Linked DNA regions of Notamacropus eugenii. The protein of the gene in region 2 interacts with the protein of the main gene of each other region in a pairwise test. Links are inferred from orthologs where the notes say so. Each region holds a gene or a part of one and is shown on either strand. Other genes may lie near its edges.

What was found. The genes of interacting proteins can lie anywhere in the genome.
Region 1: the proteins of protein-arginine deiminase type-4-like (region 2) and ANXA4 interact in binary tests that used the Homo sapiens proteins (3 or more experiments, as listed by UniProt). The two-hybrid records come from large-scale screens. The link is inferred for Notamacropus eugenii from reciprocal best matches to the Homo sapiens genes PADI4 and ANXA4.

What each region holds. Positions count from the first base shown.
Region 1 is NC_092872.1:633,957,703-633,965,309, reverse strand, and holds the start of ANXA4 (annexin A4), read right to left. Parts: upstream 3,021-7,607; 5' UTR 2,986-3,020; coding exon 2,962-2,985; exon of another isoform or gene 2,674-2,961; intron 1-2,673. UniProt on the Homo sapiens protein: Calcium/phospholipid-binding protein which promotes membrane fusion and is involved in exocytosis.
Region 2 is NC_092876.1:56,566,328-56,574,119, reverse strand, and holds the start of protein-arginine deiminase type-4-like, read right to left. Parts: upstream 3,010-7,792; 5' UTR 3,000-3,009; coding exon 2,908-2,999; intron 1-2,907. UniProt on the Homo sapiens protein: Catalyzes the citrullination/deimination of arginine residues of proteins such as histones, thereby playing a key role in histone code and regulation of stem cell maintenance.

The sequences.
Region 1 (7,607 bases), on a different chromosome or scaffold from region 2:
TCAGCAGATTCTCCCATGGACAGTTCCACTCCAGAAGGGCAGAAACCACTTGCAGAGTATATGATGGAACACCCAAGCAGAAGGTTCTGATGATAATGGTGAGATTAGTCCACTGCCACTATTCATCAACAGAAGAGTTATATAGGATGTTCAAGGAAGATTGGCACTTCTGGTATGAAGACTTTGCTGAGCCCTTTTCAGGGCTGCTTATCCTCCTTTGGGGTCTACCTAGCACTCAACCCTCACCTGTGGCTCCAAGAAGCTGTTAGTTTGTATTAGCTAAGTTAACACTGCAGTTAACACTGTAGCAAGTTAGAGGGATGTCTGGAAAATGTCATTCACATCCAGAGAAAGAAATATGGAGTCTGAATGCAGATTGAAGCATACTATTTGCTCTCTTTTGTTTTGTTTTCCTTTCTCATAGTTTCTCCCATTTGTTCTAATTCTTTATACAACATAACAATGTGAAAATCTGTTTAGTAAGAATGTGTATATAGGGCCTATATCAGATGGCATGCCATCTTGGATAAGGGGGAGAGGTGGAGAAAATTTAAAACTTGTGGAAGTGAATGTTGAAAACTAAAAATAAATAAATAAATGTATTAAAAAAAAAAGAAGAAGAAGAAGAAGAAGAAGAAGAAGAAGAAGAAGAAGAAGAAGAAGAAGAAATTCTACCTAGTGCTGGTTTTCTAAGATCAAACAAAAAAATCTCTTTTTCACATGAGGTTCTTTCAAATACTTAAAGATGACAATAGTACTCATCTCTTCCACCCCCCTCTTCTCCCAAAACCTTCCCTCTCTCCAGGTTAAAAATCCCGTATTAGAGCCACAAATGCTGATTCTACTTCCCAGAAAAAGCACTACAAAATATTTCCTGGATGACAGCCCGAGAGGTACCCTCAAACAACCTTCTTAATACAAATATAGTAGAGGTAGGGTTGGGGAGTAATGGAGACCTAAGTGGAATCTTGGACCTTGGAGAAAAAGACCCAAAGACAAGGAGACAGAGAGACCCAGGACACCAGCCTTGATAGAGGTTCAACTTCAGGTCATTAGGAGACTGCTGCAGAACAAATACCACTGGAAGGGATAGTGAAGTAGAGACATGCTGGCGAAGGACTCACCTGGGTTATGGTCATCAAGGGAGGAGGCCTGCCACTGATAGCTCCTTATTTTAGTTAATTATTCTTGCTAATTAGGTACTGAGCTCAGTTATTTCTACTTTCAGAAAGTAGTCAATTGCAGGTATCACCCTTTAAATTTCTCTGCTCAAGGGCCTAGTTTTAGTCACTCTACCCTAGTTAAAATTCTGACCCAGTTCCTTCAACTAATCCTTTTATGGAATGATATACAGTCTTTTGTCATCCTGGTCATGCTTCTTGAGACATATTCCATCTTGCATATGCTTTTGTGTGTTTTGGGGTTTTTTGTATATGCCTCTTAAAATATATGATGGCACCCAGAGAATGTAGACTTTGGAGTCAGGCAACCTAGATTCATATCTTGCCTCAGCCTTTTCATACATGTGTGACCTTGGGCAAGTCACTTAACATTCTGGCCGTCAATTTTTTCATCTGGAAAATGAAGGGATTGAACTAGATAACTTTCTACAGATTCTTTTAGCTATGATCTATGATCTTATGTTATCACAGACAATTCCAACTGTGGTCTGACAAGGACATCCAGTCCTCAAAAGTTTTTCTTTCACAGTTTCATAGATTTAGAGTTGCAAAGGACCTCAAAGATTATACTAGATAGAATTATTTAGTATAATCCATTCATTTTTCAGATTGAGAAACTGAGGCCAGAGAGTTTATAAAACTTGGTCATACAGGTACTAAGTGGCAGAGCTAGGGAATGAATCCCATGTCTTCTGGTTCCAAACTCAATGTTCTTTTCTGTTGTACCACACTTTAAAAAACCATCATTTAAAAAGCCAGTCAAATTTTTTTTTAATTCACAAAATAAAACAATGAAAGCAAAATTGATCATCTCCAAACATTCAAAAATCAAAGAATATCTGCTCTAATATTACTAGTTAAGGCAATACATCTAGGACACTTCTTAACTAAAGGTAATAGGTTGTCAACCTTATTTTTTGGGGGGGTGGGAGGAAGAAGGCAATCTGTGTTAAGTGATTTGCCCAGGTTCACACAGATAGTAAGTGTCTGAGGCTGGATTTGACCTCAGATCTTCCTGACTCCAGGGCCAGTTCTCTGTCCACTGTATACCTAGCTACCCTGAATTTATTTAAAAAAAAAAAACAAAACTTCATTATCTTTATTCTCCCTCAAGATTAGCAGTTTTTTTCTACCCTGGTTTCTTCCTTGGTGGCTTGTGTAGAGGCTGAGTCTGGTGAGGATATTGCTGGAGATTAGCTAGAGGCACGGCAATAGAATTGTTGGAAGCTACCTCTCCTTGAATTTTTTCTGCACTCACTTATCAGGGTCCTGGCCAAGACATTCCTAATCCTTCTCTACTAAGAACTCCAGATTTTTTTTTTCTAAATCTAAATAACTTTTACTTCTTTACCCTTTACACTCTTGTTGAAATGGTTGACTACCTGTCCTCCTCCTCATTATGTTCTGCAACCTTAATTATGCTGTCAGCTGCTGCCAGTCAAGTTGTGAGAGAGGTGAGGGCCACAGAAAAAATGGAGCCAGACAAAGCCAGTCTGAAAAGCTCCGAGAGACTCTACAGTTTCCATTGCTCAGTGGATTTGGAAGAAGAGGGGGAAGAAAAAAATCAGACCTTTTCTTCCATTTACATCTCTTAATACCTGCTGCAATTCCATGATGGTGGTAGACTGACATAATGATGGTAGACTACCCTTAAACTCTAACTCTTAGGAAGAAATTCTCCTAATTAAAACAGTCAAGTCCCAAAGAACCTTTTTCAGCACCCCTATACCTACTGAGAGTGGTTATCATTTCCTCCCATCCTCTCCCGATCCTGAGTTACCTTCACCCAGTGGTTTCCTAGCATCACTGTAACAGGACAAATGAAGATGGCATTGTAAACAGAACAATGTTTCCAAGGCAACCACCTGTACAATTCAGAGCTTCTTAACCAGTAAAAAGGTGAGGACTTTCATTTTCCTAGAATCCTCTCTACCTCCCCACCACTCTCTTCCACCTGCTTTTCACCCACCTTACTTCTCATGAATTGTGATGGTATAGGGACATTTTTTAGCCTGTCAACTATAAGAAGTCCGTTTTTACCCTGCTCTCCTTTGGCTGATATTATCAGGAAACACTTGTGCTTGGGGTCATTTTTGTTTTAATTATGAGTTAAATTCTGGATAGAGGTTGCCCATTCATCATTTAGGTGTGGGTGTATGAGATGACTGAATTTATTGTGGAACCGTATATAGTAGTAAAGGTGGGGGCAGAAGGAAATAGAAATTGGAAGCAAGGTGATTGAGAAAATACTTGGTCTTGGATTCAGAATATCTGACTTCCAATTCTGGCTCTGCTACTTAACAGAAACTACATATAGATATGTGTAAAGCACATATTATGTGAAAGTCTTCCCTACTTGTGTGTCCTTGGGGAAATTACATCACCTCTCTAGGCTACTCCTCTCTCATCTTCGCTCTTTCTGTTATAGGTATCACTCACCATCCAGTCACCAGTGTTGTACATTGACATTATCCTGGAGCTTTAGTTTCTCTTCACCCCACATGTATATTCACACATCCAGTTCAAAACTATGCCGTTTTCATTTTGGTTATCCTCCTCATTCCCTTCCCACTGTAACCAGAACTCTGCCCCTGGGACCTTGGACCCCAATAGGTCAGCTCTTACCCTTCCTTGCCCAGAATCAGACTTCCTATTACTTTTCAGTCAGTTTCCTACTAGTCTAATCCCCTGCATCCTTTCAGCTCCCCTTTATGTGTTGCCTTACCTTATTAGACTGTTCACTCCTTCAGGTCAAGGACTATTTACTTGCTTATACTGGTATTCTCATCACTTAGCACAGTGGCAGACGCAGAGGGGTATGCCAGAACCAGCCTGAGAGCCCCTGTGAGCTGACTGTTAAATTTTCGCTAATATGATTATTGAATGTCTTTTATTCATTTATTCTTTCAAGTTGATGCCAAATATTGTCATTTCTCCCTTACATTTTTGACATGTCTTTTTTTCTCTAGACACAGGGCCACAACCCTAGTTTATGCCCTCATCACCTTTTGTCTGGACTGTTGCAAGGCTTCCTAATTGTCTTCCCTACCTCATTTCTTTCCCCTTGCTAATCTGTTCTACATGCAGCTGTGAAATTGATTTTCCTAAAGTAAAGGTCTGACCATGACAGTCCCCCATTCAATAAATAATTACCTCTAGAATAAAATATGTTAGTCTGACTTTTAAAGACCTTCACAACCTGGTGACAACTTACATTTCCAAGGTTATATTATGTATTTGCTATGGTGGACTCCATTAGATTATGCCACTCACTTTAAGTAATATCCCTTGTTAGGTATGAACACTTTTTATTGACTTAAACAATTAGAATTGAGTGTGAACAGGGCCTAAACAGAGCAGGTACCTACCTGCCTCAATCAAAGCCATTTTTTAAAAGACAGGATCATGTCCTAAGGAATTTGCTTAAAGGAAGAAGCTAAGTATGCAGAAGAAAAGATTCTGAGGGTCTAGATTCAAGAGGCTGGCCTTCCAGCATACACCTAAGGAGCGAATGAGCTGTGAAAGAGAAGGATGCTATGTAAGAGAAACATCAGCTCTAGAAAAGTTTGGGAGCAGAGGACTTATGCTAGGAGAAGATCTAAGAAAAAACTGGGCTCATTCCCCAACTTCCCCTCCCAGTCTCTGCCTCACATTCACTATAATATAATCTACGTTTTGTTACACTAATGTTTCTAGTGAATTGAATTTTGTGTCAACTTCAAAGAGGCTGGGGGGTTAACTTGTGCAAGATATAAACGTAAACTTTGGTTAATATATTAGGAGTTTTCCAAACTGGGGGCTCAGAGTTATTGTGATGGAACTCAGAACTTTTCATCTAAAATCAATTCCCTATTGTTGGAGAAGAAAACTCCTGGACCTTAGGAACCTAAATTGGATCACTCCAGGTTTAAAACAAACTAATTATTATAACAGGGCAGTACTTACTATGATGTGGCCAAACTAATCGTGCAGTTCTTCATATGTGACATTCCATCTTCCATCTTCATATCTTTTCTTGAGTGTGGTCCAGGTATTTCCTCTCTCTTTACCTTCTCCTCTTTGAATTTCTTGTTTGCTTTAGAACTGCTCAAAGACCACCTTCTACGTGAAACCTTTCCTCATTCTCCAGTCACTAGTGTCCTCTACACACACACACACACACACACACACACACACACACACACACACACACACACACACACACACATTTTACCTAGTATTTATTCTGTGTATACTTTTTTAATGTCTTAATTATGTACTGATTGTCTCTCTTATAGAATATAAACTTCTTGAGGACAAGGACTATTTCATTTTTTGTTTTTGAATCCCCAGTGAACAAGAGAGTGCCTGAAACAGATACTTCATAAATACTTGCTCATTAATTAATTGATTTCCTTATCTGTAAAATGAAGGGATTGGACTAAATAATCTCTAGGGCTTCTTCTAGCTATAAATTCTATATCTTTGATTAGCTGCAGAATCACATGTGATAATTGATGTGGCTTAGGTATGCCTTGGTAGGTGTCTTTGGTTTCCTCTTTGAAACAGCCATCCATGATGGGCTTATAACACAGCTTTCCACAAGTTAAACAAAAGTGGATACCCCTTAATTATTTGAGTAACTGGGAAATATATATTTTGACCACCAGGTGGCAATACCATCAAGCCACCCACCTAGTGGTTTTATCAGTAGGTATTTAGTGAACATGGGCTAGTTTTTCCAAAGGTAAAAGTATCCTATATGGCAATTGTTCATAAATTTTCAGACCACAACCCACTCCCACCACACCAAGTTTCTTTGGGCAATTTGCCCCCAATTCAATATAGATCTACATGTATGAACATGAAATATACAGTAGTTCTAAAATATTAAGATTGTTGGAAACCTCTAATTACTCCTGTTGAGGGAATTTGGGAAATCTGTTCTTGTTGACCAACTGAGATCCAGACAACTGACTTTTTAGCTACTACGTGATTTATTAAAATATGCAAAGAAACTATCAGATAGCAAAATTGTAAAGAAGCTATTTAAATTGATCTACTAATCCTGATCTCCCCACTTATAGAGGAGGAGGACAGGAGGGTAGAATAAAGGAAGGGTTCATGAATTTGGCACTCATTGAGATTTAAAATAGCACTGCCTTTGGAATTCAATTTTTTAAAATGTACGTTTAAAATTAATTTTGCACGTAATTGAAAAAAATTTTAAAGAAGGAGTAGCACTGCCTCTGAAGTCAGAAGATCTGAGTTCAAATCCATACATCTGATGATTACCACTTAACTTCAGTGGACATCAGCTTTCTTCCTCTATAAAATAAGAGGGTTAGAGGGGTTTTTAACCTCGGGCTCAATAAAAAAATTTTTAATAACTGTATTTCAATATAATTGCTTCTTTTGTGATCCTGTGTATTTTATTTTATATATTCAAAAATATTTTGAGAAAAGACTGCCCAAAGCATCTGCGACACAGGAAAGGTTAATAATCCCTGGCTGAGTATAGTGGTATACTCCTGTAATCCCAGCCATCTGAAGACTGAGAGTGGTGAATCTCTTGAGTTTCTGTGGACTATGCAGATCAGTCCGTGCTAAATTCAGCATTAATATGATAAGCCTCTGGAGTTGGGGGTGGGGAGCACCAGGTTGCCTAAAGTTAGTGGTGTACTGGTAAATATTTAACAACTTGTCCTCCCCCCAAAATGTACAAATGATATATTTTAAACTTTATCTGCCTTATTCACATTTCTCCATCACTTTCCGAAGTCTAGTTAAGCAGTGTCTAACTCAAATAGATAACTGCAAAGGATCCCTGCTGCCCTCTGACTTGAGAACCACATATTAGCATTATCTGTGTTCTGTTGTGTTTTTATTTGTTTTGTTAAATATTTCCCAGTGCATTTTAATTTAGTTCTCCCTGCGCTAAGGAGTGCTGAAGGGCATATTTGACCCCTCTGATCTAGACTAGTAGTGTCAAATTTAAATAGAAATGAATTGTGATTGACTGTGGTTGACTCAGAAAAACACCAGTTAACATTATGTTGCATTGTGGAGCACTTGGCCTGGAGTGAGGACGACCTGAGTTCAAATGTGACCTCAGATATTTACTAGCTGTGTTACCCTGGGCAAGTCACTCAACCTCCATTTGCCTTAAACCACTGGAGAAGGAAAAGGCAAACCACTCTAATATCCTTGCCAAGAAAACTGCATGGTCCACAGGGTCATAAAAACTCAGATACTATTAAACAATAGCATTAATAATATGTTGCATTGTATTTTAAAATTTATTTTGTTAAGCATTTCTCAGTTACATTTTAACTTGATTCTACAAAGGCTGGAGTGTTGCCCTTCTGGTGACAATTAACAGAAGAGTAGATCAGGCCCTGACCTGTGGGTCTGGCAGTTTCTGAGGTGTAAATGCTCATACTGAAA
Region 2 (7,792 bases):
TTTGGCTCCCCCGATTTCCCAGGGTGACCATCCATCCCATGTTCACAGCCCCTGTTCCTTGTCACTGCCAGGTACTGCACTCCTGATCCCACCACGGAACTCTGGTTCTTTACCCTGAAGGATACCTATGACCTCCAAGACTTGAGACAATGAATGTTCCCACAGGACCCAAGAACACCTGTGTTGTTCCAAGGAATGCAACCATGAGAAATATCTCAAGATCTAGGAATGACTTTGCTATGGGCCAACCCTTTTTATGTAAATAAGTGGCCTCCTCCTTTTGGGGGGGGGGCTTCTATTTGCAAATGTCATTTTCCTCCCTCTGAAATTAATTAAACTTCTGTTTGTGTCCTGACTTTCCTGTCTCTAGTCTGCCCTGTTTGTTTGGCTCTGGCCACCCACAGGTTAGAGGCTGTTTCCAGTCTGGTTGACAGTACTTGTCTGTGAAAAGCACATTGACTTGGGAATCAAAGAACCTGGGTTCAAATCCTGCCTTTGGTGTTTATACCTCAGATGAAAGGCAAACCGCTTCATTTCCCTGGGCCTCAGTTTCCTCATCTGTCCTGGGTCACATTGTAAGAGTTACTCTGGGGATTGGCAAACTTCTTGGGCTAAACTCTGGGACAGGGATAGGCAACTGTGGCGTGGGTATCCAAGGTGACCAGTGGGCCTGCTGTGTCACCTCTTTCTTTTGGGAGATCTGTTGGCAATCATTATCATTGACCTTCCCCTGCCAAAAAGAAAGGGGATGGAACCTTAGCCTGATTCCTTGCTAGGGTTACTACTGCCGGTGCTAGCCATGAGATATAATTAATATCATTCATATTAATTAAGGAGCACCTAGGAGCACTATACTCAGTGGATAGAGCACTGGACCTGGAATCAGGAAGATCTGAATTCAAATCTAGCCTCTGACACTTACTAGCTGTGTGTCCCTGGGCAAATCACTTAACGTGTGCCTGCCACAGTTTCCTCATCTGTAAAATGAGCTGGAGATGGAAATGGCAAACTACTCGAGTATCTCTGCCAAGAGAACCCCAAATAGGGTCACAAAACAACAGAGAAAGCAGGTCTATGTGGAGCCCAGATGAGCCTTAGACCCCCTTCCAAATTTCTACTCCTTTGTGGAAGCTCAGTTCCACTGCCATCTCCTCCAGGAAGTCACTGGATCTCACTGCACGTCTCCCTGACACATTTGTCATTGGCCAGTTTACATCACATTCATCTGTGTTCGTGTTTAAAGAGCTATTTGAATAGAAATAATTCCTGCAACCCCTACTGCTACTACTATGAGACCCCTTGAGGGCAGGAACCAGGACTATTTTGTTTTTGTCCACTGGCAACAAGTCCAGGATTTTTATGTAGGGAATAGTTTTTAATTGTTTGTTGAAATGAATGAATGAGTTGCTAGTCAAGTCTTACTTAAAATCATTAGCTTATTTTAAAGGATCTCATCTCCAATTAGTTTCTTTTCTTCTTTTTTGGAGGCAATTGGGATTAAGGGATTTGCCCAGGGTCACACTGCTAGTAAGTATCTGAGGCTGGATTTGAGATGATGTCCTCCTGATTTCAGGCCGAGTGCTCTATCCAGTGGGCTACCCAGCTGCCTCTACCACCTTCTCTTTTCAAAGAGTCAATGTGTCATGTTGGATGGAAAGCTGGCCTTGGAGCCAGGAAGACCTGGGTACAGATCCTGCTTTTGGCACATAATGTCTATGTGACCCTAGACAACTGATGTAGCCTCTCAACACTTTGGGCAGCTCTGAGACCTGAAGTTGCAAAGAAAAGGCTGACTTATTTTGGTAGGAGGAGTTTCTTCACCCAGAAGGTTTCTATATTTATGAAATCACAAATTCATTTGGTCCCTAGCTTTACTTGCCACTTCTCCTTTAAGTCTTCCCCTTGGGACTTCAAACTCAAGGCAATTATTTTCCCCTTATGGGGTAAACACCATTCTCAAGGAAGACTCAAGGAGATCTCAAGCAACTGTCTGGGGGCTGGTGTTTGTGTCTGTTGCGGGGCTGGGGAAGCCTGGTTATCAGTCCAATGCCAGATTCCAGCCACAGCATGTAAGCTAGACAGATTTCAGCTCAATCAAAGCAATCCTAATAATTGGGGTTGTACTAACTGGAGTGGGCTAACATACATAAGTCACTGAGCTCCTCGTCACTGGTGGTATCCAAGAAGAGGCAGAAATATAGCTTGTAGGGAATGGGAGAGAGGACATTCCCAGATCAGCCCTGAGGCTGGACTGAATGAACTGTGAGATTCTGTGATTCTATTCAACAGAAATCAGCAAAAGTGTGTACATGTGCTCAGCTCAGGAATTAAAAAGGAGCTTGTTGTCTAATAGCAGGAAGGACTGAACAGACAACGGGAGACAAGGGACAGTGGTGTTAATGCAGAGGAGAGGTTGGGGCCACGGGCTAGGAGAGTTCCATACAAGAGACGAAACAGCCTAAAGTGTCCATAATGTCTGCATCTATGAAATGAGAGGACTGAACTAATGCTCCCTAAGGGCCCTCCCAGCTGTGACACTGTGTTCTAAGGGCGCTCCCAGCTGTGACACTGTGTTCTAAGGGCCCTCCCCACTGTGACACTCTGTGTTCTAAGAGCCCTCCCAGCTCTGACATTCTGTGTTCTAAGGGCCCTCCCAGTTCTCACATTCTGGGTTCTAAGGACCCTCTCTCATCCTTCTTTCCAGCTCTAGCATGGCATGGTCGGTGTCCTGTGCTTCTGCTTTTCTCCAGCGAGTAATTATACCCTTCTCAGGACTGCTCAGAGATTATTAGCTTCATTAACTGCTAAGCTGACAGCATTTACTGGAAGAAAGCTTCTGCCACACTTATCAGATAGTCAGAGCTACCCACCCACCTGAAACAGCAGAGAGAGCTCCCTCCTCCTTACCCATGCAGGTCCACCACCGTCTCGGTGCCCAGCACACACACAGCATAGGTGGGTCGATCTAGCGACACCCGGACGAGCCTCTTCTGGGCCATTTTCTGCGGTGTGGTGTCAGCCTATGGCCTTCAGCACTGCCCGTGGGCTGCTGTCTTTATACTGGGTAAATGAGTCAGCAGATGTGGTTTGGAGGTCACCGGTTTGCTCCTCCCTGTTCCCAGCCATGGGTCCTGGGTTCCTCTGGGCCTTTCTCAGGCTCCTAGCCTGTGGCCGAGTGAGTTGTCATTCAGCCTCCCCAGGTGAACAGAAGCCTGATATTAGCCAGAGAAGTCCCAGGTTTACTGAGTGGAAAGAGTTCCATCTGAGATGCCGCTGGTATCTAGAGCTGTCATTCCAGGCAGCCTTTGTTTGGAGTCTGGAGAACCAGCACTGAAAGCCCTTTGGGTCACTCGCTGGCCATAACAACCAATCAATAAAAATTTAAGTACATATCATATCCAGGACCAGAACTGGGAACTTTGCTAGGATGTAAAGACCAAAATGGAATAGGCCTGACTTCTCAGGGAACTTACATTCTGCTAGAGGAGATAGCATATGCTCATAGTGGACCCCTATATTTAAGTTAATTTATATTTACTTATATCTACATTTCCATTTAAGCACAAACATACCATATCTAAATTAACTGCAAAGTTTTTGGGGAGAGAGGCACTAGTAACTGGGCAGACTGTGAAAGGCTAGCTGCAGGTGCTTGAGTTCTGTTTTAAGAGGTAGAGGCAAGCAGAGGGCACTCCAGGAAGGGGGCATGGCTACAGTATAGACACAGAGACAGGTACAGAATTGTGGGTGTGGAGTAGCAGAAAGACTAGCTAGGCAGGATGATGGAGTGTGGGAAGGGGACTGATGTACAGCAAGGCTGGAAAGGGGCCATGTTGTGGAGTATAGAGATGCCCAAAAGATAATCGATTATTTGATCCTAGGGATAACAGAGAGTCAATGCAGTTAAGTGAGTAGGGGAGTGGCATGGCCAGACTTACATTCACCTTGGCTGTTGAGCAGAGGATGGCTTTGGGTGGGGAGAGACTTGAGAAGGGCCTGATTCCCTAGGAGACTCTTACAATAGTTTGAAGGAAAGTGGATGAATAGAGGTCTTGTAAATAGAGGCTTGATGCTATATGGCCTAGGGACAGCTAGATGGCACAATGGATAGATTCCTTGACCTAGAGTTTGGAAGACTCATCTTTCTGAGTTCAAATCTGGCCTCAGACACTTACTAGCTTTGTGACCCTGTGCAAGTCACTTCACCCTCTTTGCCTGAGTTTCTTCATCTGTAAAATGAGCTGGAGAAGGAAATGGCAACCCCCTCCAGTATCTCTACCAAGAGGGGTCACAATTGAATAACCACTATTCTCTTTCCAACTGGGTCTCCCAGGTGAGCTCCTGCCCCATTCACCCTGCTAGGGGACAACCTCCCTAACAATGAGTTAATGACATTCCTGAGTCTCTGTTTCCCTTCAGGGAGATGCTCTGAAATGTCTCCAGGAACAAAGCCTTAACTCACCCTCCAACTCCCAACTGCCAAATGTGGTTGCAAGGGAACAACTTCTCATAGAGTTTCCTCAGTCTCAAAAGGAGAGTTGGACTTAGTTAGAAGAGACCTAGATGGAACTCTCAATTCTTTACTATGTGATATAACTCATTGCCATTCTCTAAACCTCAGTGACTTCATATCTAAAATGGGGCTAATATAATGTACCATCTGACCTACCTCGTAGGGCTGTTGTGAAAAAGTCCTTTGTAAGCCTAAAGTGTTCTCTCCATATGTTTGTATGTGCATATACACATACATGTTTTATGTCAGACACATTATATGTATGTGTATGTAAATGTAGAAGTAGCCTTGGAGCCTGGAAGACACACACTAGCTACGGGACCGTGAACAACTGAACCTCTCAATGTTCTCGGCAGCTCTGTAAGACTACTACTTTTAATTTTCAGCAAAGGTACAGATCTGAATGCGTAGAGGGAATTTCCTCACCTAGAAATTTCCTTTATCAAAGAAATCATTGGTCTAGCTCCTATTTCCTTATGAGTGAATTTGGGTGCAGCATGGAGGACTCTTAAACCTATCCTGAAACCAGAAAGGGCATGCAGACCTAGAGATGACACCTTCTATCATCTAAGACATTGGCCTCCATAAATCAACCATAGGTTAGCCAGTATCAACCCAGAGACTCAGAAAGGAACTTTGCTGAGTCTAAAAAAAAAATAACCTAAAAGAAGAAAAAGTGATCATTAAATTAGTATGATCAAAAGTGCAACAACGATCTTTGCTTGAATAAATATGTTTATATAACAGAAATGGGAACAGGAAATGCTCAAAGAGCCAGAGAAATGCCGATTTCCCTAGTGACTAAGAAACAAGACTGCCCTGACCCTTCAAGCTTCAGGGCTTTCTGGCAGTAGTGACAAGAGCCTGGCTATCACTGATACTCACATTCACCCCCAGTTTTCACAGATCTCAAGGTGAAACTTTGGGGTTGAGGAGTAGGGGAAAGTCAGAAAATCAATTTGATTCCATTTAATAAGCACTGATTAGGCCCCTCCAATAAATAGTAAAGATAGTTTCCTGTACTCAGCAATGGAGTTACAAAGATGAAAAACAACAGTGACAGCTTTTAAGGAGCTCAGACTATATGTATAATATACACAGATTTATATATATATTATATATGTATGTATATAAATGTGTATATGTGTGTGTGCATGCAGGAGTATGCGTATGTATATGGATAAACCAGGGACATTCATAAATACCTGTCATAATTCCATTCAATGACCATGCATTGTAAAGATTACAAGGGTAACAAAACAATTCTTGCCTCCAAGGGCATTATATCCCACTGGGTAATAGTGAGCCCTGAATTTGGAGTAAGAGGTCTTAGGTTTGAATGCCAGTTCATTATCTGAGTGACACTGGACAAGTTTATTTCTCTGTTCCTCGGTTTCCTCATCTGCAAAATGAAGTGATCAGACTAGAAAGTTTCTGAAACCTCCAAATTCCATGACTTTCCATGATCTATGTGACCTTGGAAAAGTTAACTAATCTCTCTGAGCCTTGGTTTTCTCATTTGCAAATCAGAGGGATAGGAGCCCTAAGGTCTTGTATCACTCTGACATCCTATGATCCCATGAACAAACTATATATACTTCAGCCTTGAATACAGAGGAGAATGCAGGGGGATGTTCCAAAAAGAAAGAGGATTGTTTCTTACTGAGAAGATAATGTTTGACCTTGCAGTCAGCTCGACTCTTAGCTTATCATTTTTCCTTATTTGCTGGTCAGTCACCAGGCTTGACTTCATCTGTCTTTGGGGTAGTCATACCAGGATGTTTTGTGCCCTTCTGTGACTTCTAGGTGCCTTGCAAGACAGGACCAGGCAAGAAGTTGTCAAGGGGCAGCTCACTAAGGGTGTGAGAAACTCATAAAAGTCAGGCTTGTTTACACATGTACAACCATAGGTTCATAGAATATATCTTAAAATAGACAATGGTGGAGGCAGAGACAAGATGGCAGAGTAAAGGCGGGAACTGACCTGAGCTCTCCCCCAAATCCCTGCAAATACCTTTAAATAGTGAGTCTAAACAAATTCTAGAGGGGCAGAACCCACAAAAAGATGGAGTGAAAATTTTTTAGCCCAAGACAACTTAAAAGGTTGGCAGGAAGGTCTGTTGTACCAGAATGAGAGAGAAGCACAGTTCGGTACAGGCCATACTGGTGCAGACCAGGTCCCAGCAAACCCAGAACAGGCCTCAGGGTGACTGAATCAGTGGCAGTAGTGGTGGTTTCCAAAACTCTCAGCCCACAGATGGTAAGGGGGTCAAACAACTGGTCAGAAGGAGATTACAAGGGTCTCTTTGCTGGTACTGAGACTAGATTCTGTTGCTTTGCCCATACTTGGTTCTGTGTTGCAGTCCTGGGTCTTAGTCCCAGTGTGAGGAGGAGCACTAGCACAGAAGAGCTTGTGGCCACAGGGGAGCAGGAACATTGGTCACAGTTTCAGGGTTGAAAACAGTGCTTGTGGTCCCTCTCAGACCAGTGCACAGGCCAGGAGAGTAGTTAACACACTTCTCATTAGATCATACCACCTTGGAAGAGCCCCAAACTTACAGGTTCCCAGAATTACCTCTGAAAACAGCTGCACAAATAAACGTCAAACTTGAAACAGCACTCTCTCCACTTGGGAAGCAGAGCCCCATTTTAACACAGAGTTAAAAGTCAAGAAATAAGTTGGAAAATGAGCAAACAACAAAAAAAATTCTGACCACAGAAAGTGGTTATGGTGACAAGGGAGATCAAAACACACACTTAGAAGAAGACAACAAAGTCAAAATTCCTTCATTCAAAGCCTCAAAGGAGAATACAAATTGCTCTCAGGTCATGGGAAGAACTCAAAAAGGATTTTAAAAATCAAGCAAGAGAGGTAGAGATAAAATTAGGAAGAGAAATGAGAATAATGGAAGAAAATCATGAAAAAGGAGTCCATAGTTTGGTAAAGGAGGCACAAAAAAATACTGAAGGAAATAATTCTTTAAAAAACAGAATAAGTCAAATGGTAAAAGAGGCACAAAAATCCAATGAAGAAAAGAATGCTTTAAAAGCAGAATTGGCCAAGTGGCAAAAGATATACAAAAATTCATCGAAGAGAACTCCTTAAAAAGTAGAACTGGCCAAATGCAAAAGAAGGTACAAGCTTGCCTGAAAGAGATTTTACAGTGGAGGGGGAAGTAAGAAGGTGAGCACATGAACCTTACTCTAATTGGAATTGGCTCAAAGAAGGAATAATACATGCATTCAGTTGGGTGTAGAAATCTATCTTACCATATTAAA